Linked DNA regions of Callithrix jacchus. The protein of the gene in region 1 interacts with the protein of each later gene in a pairwise test. Links are inferred from orthologs where the notes say so. Each region holds a gene or a part of one and is shown on either strand. Other genes may lie near its edges. The genes, in order: SH2D4A, CDR2 and TACC1.

Region 1 (3,657 bases):
TGGGTGTGTTAGCATCCTGCTCCTGCCTGTGCTCCAGCCCTGACTCCTTTTTCAGTTAGCAGAGCCAGTGAGAAAACTTACAGGATAAGAAGAAGCCCATGGCAGAGCAGAGGATGCTCCAGAATGCTAGAAGAATTAGGTTTGAGAAAGAAGTAGTGTTTCAGTCTGACTCAGAGAAGTCTGAACTGCTGGATCATCCTGAGGCAGCTTGAGGAAGAACACAGGTGTGGCTGCATTTGCAGGATGTTGCGATCCTAAATTGATCTGCAATCCCATTACAGCCAATGCCATTTAAATGACAATGTCTGTGAAATAAAAATATTCGCAAGATCCAGTGGCCTCTTTGTACTATGCAGTGAAATCCTAGTATAAGGGAATATTTTGGGTATCTCTTTGAAGTCAAACATAACAGGATTTGACCAATAATGCCTGAAGAGTAAATATACTCAATAAAAATTACTTTTTCATTCTGCATTAGAGTCTCATTGCTACAACAAAAAACTGTTTTGCAAAGTAGTCATGTGCTGTATAATGATGTTTTGGCCAACGATGGGTTGTATATATTTTTTAGGCCAAGTGCTGTGACTCCCTCCTGTAATCTCAGCCTTTTGGGAGGCTAAGCTGGGTCGATCACTTGAGGTCGCAAGTTCCAGACCAGCCTAGCCATCGTGGTGAAGCCGCATCTCTACTAAAAATACAAAAACTAGCTGGGTGTGGTGGGGCACACCTGTAGTCCGAGCTACTAAGGAGGCGGAGGCAGGAAAATCGCTTGAACCTGGGAGGTAGAGGTTGCAGTGAGCCAAGATCATACTACTGTGCTTCAGCTTGGGCAACAGATTGAGATTCAGTCTCAAAAAAAAAAAAAAAAAAAAAAAGACACAAAATAATAGGTTGCATATATTTTTAAAATAAAGATATTTTTAATACATTTTATTAATGTAGTATAGCCCAAGTATAAAGTGTTTATAAAGTCTACATTCATGTATAGTAATGTCCTAGGCCTTAGCATTCATTGAGCACTCACTCACTGACTCAACCCAGAGCATCTTCCAGTCCTGGTAAGTACCCTATATAGCTGCATCATTTTTTTGTCCTCTATACTATATTTTTACTATACCTTTGCTACGTTGGGGGTAGTTTTTTCATTTTTTATTTTTTGAGATGGAGTTTCTGCTCTTGTTCCCCAGGCTGGAGTGCAATGGCGTGATCTCGGCTCACTGCAACCTCTGCCTCCTGCTTTCAAGAGATTCTCCTGCTTCAGCCTCCTGAATAGCTGGAATTAGAGGCGACTGCTACCATGCCTGGCTAACTTTTTGTACTTTTAGTAGAGTCAGGGTTTTGCCATGTTGGCCAGGCTGGTCTCAAACTCCTGACCTCAGGTGATCCATGTGCCTTGACTTCCCAAAGTGCTGGGATTACAGGCATGAGCCACTGTGCCCAGCCTTATATTGGGGGTGTTTAGATACACAAATACTTTTGGGTTACATTCGCCTCAGGACGCATTTCTCAGAACATGTTCCTGTCATTAAGTGATGAGTGACTATAATTTTAAAAGGCAGGCTTGGGGTACTTCTTCGTGTTCTAATGTGTTCTACAGTTATCTGTGGTTAAGCATCTCTTTAATTTTTTTATCTGTTGGGCTCATTCTCATTCTATCCCACTTCCTGCTCCTTCACCCTATGCACAGCCCCATGCCACTGAATAGTCCAGATCTTTGCTAGCAAGTCAGGCACACTGCATCTGAACATGAGTCTATGCAGGAAGTGACAAGTGCCTCTTATTACTCAGCACCCTTGCCACTTTGAACCCTTGCTCAGGCAGGGACTCCTCTGATCTTATCAACTGCAGGAAATTCTTGCACACTTTTGATACTTCTCTCATCCCTTCTTCCTCCTCTTCCTTTTCTCTCCCTCTCAGAAAATCCCCAAACTCCCATATGAAGAGAGGAATCCTGCGGTGAACGCTGGGCAAGTCCTAATGACCTGGATCATAGGTGTTGATAATGAGTGTTCCTCATTATAAGCAGATCACAAACTGCTGGTAACCTGCGCTGCTGCCTGTTGTGCAATGCTGAGCCTTCTCACCTGCTCTGGGGGCTGATGAGGATGTTCTCCAACCCTGTTGTTTTTCTAGTGCGAAAATCCAAAGCAGCTGATGAGAAGAGACGCTCCTTGGCTAAACAAGCACGAGAAGACTACAAGAGGTTATCGCTCGGGGCCCAGAAAGGAAGAGGCGGTGAGAGGTTGCAAAGCCCCCTGCATGCTCCGCAGAAACCAAAAAGACCTCCCCTTCCACCGAAGCCTCAGTTCCTAAACCCAGGAGCGTATCCTCCAAAACCTCTTAGGTAAGAAGCCAAACAAATAGATGGCTTTAGGCCTAAGCATTGCAATGGGCTTTGAGTAAGCATTGAAATTAGGATGAATTGTATGAGCTGCCATAGGGTGTGGGAGGTCAACTGGCAGCCTGTGTAAGCTCAGGCTGACGTCTACGCCTTCTTCCTGGGTTATCTGGTCGGGCGCTCCTCCCCTTCTTAGCTGTCAAACATCCGTAGGTGTTATATTTAGCATACCCAGTGAAATAGTAAAGCCGTGCATGGAGTTAGAGAACTTCCTGTGTCCCCACCCCACTCTCCCCTTTTCCACCCAGAGGCAGCTGGCAAGCCAGTGAGGGGAGAAGAGGAAGCAAGGGGGGATTTCACTGATGCCCAAGGTCACCCTTAGTCAATGACAATCAAAGTAGGAACCCAAAGGCTTGCTGACTTTCATGTCATTAGTAAGACTACGTTTTCACTGCCAAGGATTGAAGGTTTGATGTAATTCTCATTCTGGGACACATAGCTGTTGGAAACAGATGCTTGGTGCTGCAAAGAAAAATAGCACTGAGACAATGGATCTCTCAGCAAAGCAATTTTTACTTTTTTACTTCCTGTACTGCAGAAAGGGTACCCTCACTAGCCTTCTTGCCACGAGAGTACAATGAACAAAGGAAAGCAGACATATTTATCTCTTATGCATTTGTGGTTGTCTTTACTGCTGTGTCTGATCTCTGTTGGTTGGAGCCAGACTTCACAATCCAAACTAAAACTGGATTGGCTAACAACTGAAAACTTTTTTAAACAGGTAAGGGGCATAGGCTACCAGCTGGGACATGCCTGTGAGCACATCTAGCACAGATATCTTAAAATACAAGGACATAGAATATACTACATTCCTATAAGCATGTCTAACAGGTACATAGGATAGGGCTTAATAAAGGGTTATTAGCAAACTTATTCTCTAACAGGAAAGGAAACTTTAGAGGGACTTTTCCACTTCCCACAATAGCCAAGTTTATCTTTCGAAAATTTGGAAAGGCTCCTTTTTTTTTTTTTTTTTTTTAAATGAATTGTCTATTTGGTGGTGGTGATGCTATTGTCTCTTAGGCTGTGGAAGAATTAGGAAGAACCATTTGTTCTGGAAAATCTCTGCAGAATAGTGCAGTGATGCTATTACAGAAACCCCCATCCCTTATGTTTGCTGATTATAAATTTTTTTTCTGGTTATTGATCTTATTTTATTTTTAACATCCTAGGATTTACAAAGAAGTATTAAAATCAAATATTGATAGAAGCAGAAATGTCTGAAGCCTTGCCTTCTGAAGTAAAAACTAAAAAAACTA
Region 2 (2,799 bases), on another chromosome or scaffold:
AGGAGGGGAGGGAATCAAGGTGACTTACACTGCAGCATTAAGGTTGGGATTATTCTCCTTTATCCTTGGCCATTTAGGAAGCAGTCTTAATGCAGGACCAGAATAAATCCTCTGATAAATTTCTCATGAATAAGGTGACAGCATTCTCATAAAATTAAAAATAACAGGGGTCTTTGAAGCATATTAAGCTAAAATACTTTTCTTGTCAAAGCAACATGCTTTTCATTTTTTTTTTTTTTTGGTCCAGAATGCCTTGCTCAGAGAAATTGATCTTTCTTCCAAGTTAAAATCCTCCACGTTAGACTTTCTGTTAAATGTGATGTTTTTGCTTAAATTTTGATCACGTTACATGCTTTTAAGGGGTTATTATGTCTCACTTTAGATTTTTCGGTTGAATATTTTATGCATGATATGCTTTGGAAAATTAGCCTCACGATGCACTGGGGTATTGGTGAGCATCAGGGGAGCTAAGTCTGTAAAGGATAGCCTGTGCTCATTTCTTATGAAGACGGAGTTTAATATCTTCTCTTCTTAAAATAAATGTGATATTGTGGTATAATAAAAATTAGTATTTGGTCTTTGTCCCTGGCATAGAGCTTCTAAAACCCTTGGAATTTCCTGATAGAATGAGTTCTGGTCACCAGAGGAACCAACCACATGATTAGAGGTGTTAGATATATCAGTCCCAGCCCCACAATCTCTGTGTAGAGGGAACGGTTGGAGATTGAGTTCAGCCACCAATGGCCAATAATTGAATCAATAATGCTGATGTGAGAAGAAGGCCTGGAGAAAACTGAAATGGGTCTAGGAGAGCTTCTGGGCTGGGGAACACATGGTGATGCTGGGAGGGCAGTGGGCCCAGAGACGGAGACTGTATGCCAGCCTCCACCCTGACAATAGTTGGTAAAGAGAATCGATGTTGGAATAGCAGGTAACTTTTGTTTTTTTTTTCTTTTGAGATGGAGTTTGTGCTCTTGTTGCCCAGGCTGGAGTGCAATGGCACAATCTCAGCTCATTGCAACCTCTTGCCTCCCAGGTTCAAGCAATTCTCCTGCCTCAGCCTCTCAGGTAGCTGGAATTAGAGGCATGTGCCACCATGCCCATCTAATTTTTATATTTTTAGTAGAGATGTGGTTTCACCATATTGGTCAGGCTGGTCAGGTGACCCACCCGCCTCAGCCTTCCAAAGTGCTGGGATTACAGGGTGACCCACCATACCCAGCCAAGGAATAGCAGGTAACTTATCTGTTTGTGTCACCTGGCCCTGATCTTCTCTTACAGTATCTGACCAAGCAGGTAGAGCTTCTACGGCAGATGAACGAACAACATGCAAAGGTTTATGAACAATTAGACGTCACAGCAAGGGAACTGGAAGAAACAAATCAGAAGCTAGTTGCTGACAGCAAGGCCTCACAGCAAAAGATTCTGAGGTAAATTTTCTAGAATCTTTCAAGGAAAGCCTAGGGGGAAGTTCTTTAGTATAAACTAGAATAGAACATGGCTGCAGTGGGTTTGGGTCAATATGGGATAAGGTTTAATTTAATTCTTTTCGGAGAATGGAGATTAAATAGACATCCTTTCCAATTAAGAAAGCCCCGTGTGAGTGGCTTGTACCTAATCTCTCCTCACTGCTTTTGCCCTTGATTGAATATGACAAGCAGCAGTGGCTTCTGTCTGTTCCTCACAGCCTGACTGAAACGATTGAATGCCTGCAAACCAACATTGATCATCTCCAGAGCCAAGTGGAGGAGCTGAAGTCATCTGGCCGAGGGATGAGGAGCCAGGGCAAGTGTGACCAGGAAAAAGCTGCACCCAGCTTCGCATGTCTAAAGGAGCTCTATGACCTCCGCCAGTAAGAGCCTGTCTTACCCTGGAGTTACAGCAGGGACTGTCTCATGTCAACACATTCTGAATTCCAGTAGATTGAAAATATCATTTGAAGAAACGTCACTTAGCTATTAAGCTACCACTGGTTTGAACAAAAGCACTTAAACATATAAATTGTAGAGTTCTTGGATATTAGTAATTCTCATTTTGAAAGTCTTGGAGCACTTAGTGCTTTTAATGTGTTAAATCATAGTTTAAGATGAATTTCTTCTAATAGACTATAGATTTGAGAGTTGTGTTTTACATTAGAGTGAAGAAAAATAGAAATGTTGGTGAAACAAACATTCAAACGAACAGGAGGTTTTTTGCCTTTATAAATTTAAGTTACAAGTCTGAATCTTTAAGAAGTATTTATGGAACACCTGTTGTATGGCAAGCTGTATGCCAGACCTGAGGGATGGCGAGCAAAATAGAGTTCCTACCCCTGTGATCTTTCAGTCTAATGTAACAGCAGATAAGCAGATAAAAACACAAATAAATAGTCATGCAAGCTGCCTCAGACTGAGCAGGAGAAACCAGGTGGTTCCTTTGGTGGGACTCAACCTTGGCTGCTGTGTATCAGATCACCTCTGGAGTTTTTCAAATTGCAGATACCAACACATTGCCTCAGGCCTAAATCAGAATTTCTAGGTGGGGGTAAAAAGCTGCCCAGGCAATTCCAATGAACCTTCCTGGTTAAAAATCACCATGGCAACAGTGATTTGTTGTAGTGATTCAACCATAATTACATATTTTGAATAATTCAGAGAGCCTTCAGAAACACTCAGGCCAGGTGGCCGACAAACTAGGTTGGAATCTGTGGGTAGGGACCCAGGCACCAGTACTTTTTAAGGCTCCCCATGTGAGGTCATTGTCATACTGCTGTTCTTTGGGAATGGATGTTCTCTAGTACTTTTAACATTAAAAAAATAT
Region 3 (3,657 bases), about 18 Mb from region 1:
AAAAACATTTAAAAAAAAAATCTCAGCTAATTTAGTGCCGTGTCGGCCAGGTGTGATGGCTCACGCCTATAAAACCAACACTTTGGGAGGCCAAGGCAGGTGGATCACGAGGTCAAGAGACCGAGACCTTCCTGGTCAAAATGATGAAACCCCGTCTCTCCTAAAAATACAAAAAAAAATTAGCTGGGCATGGTGGTGCACATCTGTAGTCCCAGCTACTCGGGAGGCTGAAGCAGGAGAATTACTTGAACCCAAGAGGCAGAGTGAGCAGATTGCACCACTGCACTCCAGCTTGGTGACAGAGTAAGACTCTGTCTCAAAAAAAAAAAAAAATAGCGCCATGTCTATTAAATAGTCACTGTTAAAAGGCACATTTCCTGTTTTGGATGTTCTCAGATTCTCTAGGACCAACTGGGTTTCCAAAAATTCATTTCTTACACTATCTTTCCTTAGTGCAGATCCCACAAGTTAAGGGCTCAGTCCCACGAGACTGCTGCCATTTCAGATACCAGTCACAAGTCCCAGTGCTTCTGACCAACTGGCTGTAAATTTGGGGATTCTCCTAACCCCTCTTCTCAGTTTCAGTAATTTGCTAGAATGACTGACAGAGGTCAGGAAAATTCTTACATTTATTGGCTTATTATGAAGGATACAACTCAGGAACTACCAAATGGAAGGGATACACAGGGCAAGGTATCCCCATACCTACAGGAGTACAGAGCTTCCATGCCCTCTGGGCACACCACCCTCCCAGTAAGTCAACATGCTCATCAACTTGGAAGCTCCCTGATCCTGTCATTTACGGGTATTTATAAGTTTTATCACATAGGCATGATTGATTAAATTATTGGCTTTGGTGATTGAGCTCATTTTCTAGCCTTTCTCCCCTCTCTGGAAGGAGTAGGGGCAGTGCTGAAAGTTGACTTGGTATTTTTGGTGACCAGTCCTTTCCTGCAGCTGTCAAGGGACCTCCAGAACCCAGTCATTTATTAGCACAAAAAAGACACTCTGTCCAGTCAGGAGGTTCCAAGGGTTATAGGAGCTCTGTGCCAGGAACTGAGGACAAAGACAAAATATATTTTTTATTATACCACCTGTGTTAAATCTAAAAAGCTGACAATAAGGACTAAAACTTAAAAGGAGTAATAACTATCTACACCTTGATATATTCAAGACTCAGTGTTGTCAACTGGCCTGTATTTTTTTTTTTTGAGACAGAGTTTCACTGTTGTTACCCAGACTGGAATGCAATGGCACAATCTCAGCTCACTGCAACCTCTGCCTTCTGGGTTCAAGCAATTCTCCTGCCTCAGCCTCCCGAATAGCTGGGACTATAGGCGTGCACCACCATGCCCAGCTAATTTTTGTATTTTCAGTAGAGACGGGGTTTCACCTTGTTGACCAGGATGGTCTCGATATCTTGACCTTGTGATCCACCCGCCTCGGCCTCCCAAAGTGCTGGGATTATAGGCGTGAGCCACCGCACCCGGCCTGGCCCGTCTTTTAACTGAGCCGGTTGCACATGGACACACATAGATATTTGCAGCTCTAGGATGTTGATGACTTGTTTTTAGTTGTCTCTCTCCCTGTCATCAGCAGAAAGAAACAACACATTTATAACAGTTCACATATGTGGAGAGAGGTAATAGAATCTGTACACGTTAGTGAAATTGTCAATACACTTTAAAATGTTCTTCTTAAAATTTTGTATGTATTGCAGTTGAGTTTTTAAATTTTTTATGAAAAGTTTCGCAACTATATGACAGAGAAAATAGTACAATGGAAACTCCCATTTACCTATCCCTGGACAACAGTTACCAAGATTTTGCCATATTTACTATCTCTTTTTATAACAAATCCTTTTGAAATATGTTAAACCAAATTCTGGTTATGAGGCATTGAGATGTTTTAATACATTATAATTATTAATAATAGTTAAACATATAGTTAAAAGAAAAAATTTAATTGAACATTTGTAGACTATCTGAAATATATCTGTGAAGTATAATTTATAAACCACTACCCAATAATAATCATAAAAGATTCATGAGAAAGGTATGTGAGTGCTTTAAAAAATGATTCCAAATCCCAACTACTCGGGGAGCTGAGGTGGGAGGATTGCTTGAGCCCAGGAATTTGAGGCTGCAGTGAGCTGTGATCACACCACGGTACTTCAGCCTAGGCACAGTGGCTTATACCTGTGACCCCAGCACTTTCGGAATCAGAGGCAAGCAGATTGCTTGAGCCTAGCGAGTCTGTCCAAGCATGGTGGCTCATGCCTGTGGTCTCAGTTACTTGGGAGGTTGATGTGGGAGGATCACTTGAGTCTGGGAGATCAAGGCTGCAATGAGCCATGATCAGGCCGCTGCACTCCAGCCTGGGTAACAGAGACACTGTCTCAAGAGAAACAAAAATAAAAACTATTCCAATGATATTCCAGAGGTACTTGACTCTGATCCTGGATCAGGATTAGGAAGTAGGATTAGAGGGTCATCTCTTAATTTTTTCTTTTAAATCATGAGATATTATAACCAATTCACTGAGTTTTCTGTGCTACTCTTATTTCAGATATCTACGTCAGGAAATCACTTTGTACTTTAATGAAATTACCTCATTTACACCTTCCTAATATTTGTAGCACTCATCCTAGTAAGACCCCAATTTAAAAGGATTTTTATTTTTCACAGGTGATTTAGAGAATTCCTGGCCCATCTTAGAGACAGAGGTTCTAAAGAAAAAATAACTTCATTGTTTTATAATTTGTGTCTTAGTGAAGTAAGGGCTATTTGTTTTAAAGCCATTTCTGTAACTGGTTTTTCAAATTAGCTTCTTATTTGGCTCTTTTAGTTTTTAGGTCTACAGAGAGATGATTCTGAGTTGGTCACAGTAGGTTTTTTAAGTTTATTTTTGAATTCAGATTTGTTCACTGCATAAAGCTCTGACCCTAAAGCTGTCAGGCCGTGCCTAGGAACTGTCCTAGTGCCAGTCTGCATCCCTGCACCGTAGCTGTTGGTTTCTGAAGATTCCTCCAGACCAGTGTTAACCTACAGAATGTTAACAACACATAATATACATTGCAGCAGCCTGTTGCTCTATTTATCCTTTCTCTAAATAGTTCTTTTGGTGTACTTGGTATTCTTATCACTTGGATAATGCACATATACAACTTGGGATAAGAAAATTTATTTTAGGGTGTTGTGCCAGCTGTTCTCTTTCAGGCTGTGCTGCCGTCCTTGCTGAACTTTAGAGATGCTTAATAGAAGTAAAGAGGAAAGAACTTGCTATTTGTTTATGTGAATTTAGGTAGGACAGAATATTTACCGATGACAGAAAGATAATTCTTTAATAGATGGGTTTTTTTTTTCCCATTTTAGAATCACAAGAAGCTGATGAACAGCTTGTAGCAGAAGTGGTTGAAAACTGTTCATCTGGGACTTGTTCTAAACCTTCAGAAAATAAGGTGCCACAGCAGGCTGTTGACTCTCACTCACTCAAGAATTTCAAAGAAGAACCTGAACATGATTTTAGCAAAATTTCCATCGTGCGGCCATTTTCAATAGAAACGAAGGATAACACGGATATCTCGGCAGCCCTCAGAGCAAAAGCAGCTCATGGCTTTGTAACTGCAGTCTCAGGCACGACTCTGCCTTTCAGCCC

Evidence for each region.
Region 2: the proteins of SH2D4A (region 1) and CDR2 interact in binary tests that used the Homo sapiens proteins (3 or more experiments, as listed by UniProt). The two-hybrid records come from large-scale screens. The link is inferred for Callithrix jacchus from reciprocal best matches to the Homo sapiens genes SH2D4A and CDR2.
Region 3: the proteins of SH2D4A (region 1) and TACC1 interact in binary tests that used the Homo sapiens proteins (3 or more experiments, as listed by UniProt). The two-hybrid records come from large-scale screens. The link is inferred for Callithrix jacchus from reciprocal best matches to the Homo sapiens genes SH2D4A and TACC1.

Annotation. Positions count from the first base shown.
Region 1 is NC_133514.1:22,141,066-22,144,722, reverse strand, and holds part of SH2D4A (SH2 domain-containing protein 4A), read left to right. Parts: intron 1-2,133; coding exon 2,134-2,344; intron 2,345-3,657. UniProt on the Homo sapiens protein: Inhibits estrogen-induced cell proliferation by competing with PLCG for binding to ESR1, blocking the effect of estrogen on PLCG and repressing estrogen-induced proliferation. May play a role in T-cell development and function.
Region 2 is NC_133513.1:22,941,530-22,944,328, reverse strand, and holds part of CDR2 (cerebellar degeneration-related protein 2), read left to right. Parts: intron 1-1,281; coding exon 1,282-1,430; intron 1,431-1,687; coding exon 1,688-1,852; intron 1,853-2,799.
Region 3 is NC_133514.1:39,644,598-39,648,254, forward strand, and holds part of TACC1 (transforming acidic coiled-coil-containing protein 1), read left to right. Parts: intron 1-3,374; coding exon 3,375-3,657. UniProt on the Homo sapiens protein: Involved in transcription regulation induced by nuclear receptors, including in T3 thyroid hormone and all-trans retinoic acid pathways. Might promote the nuclear localization of the receptors.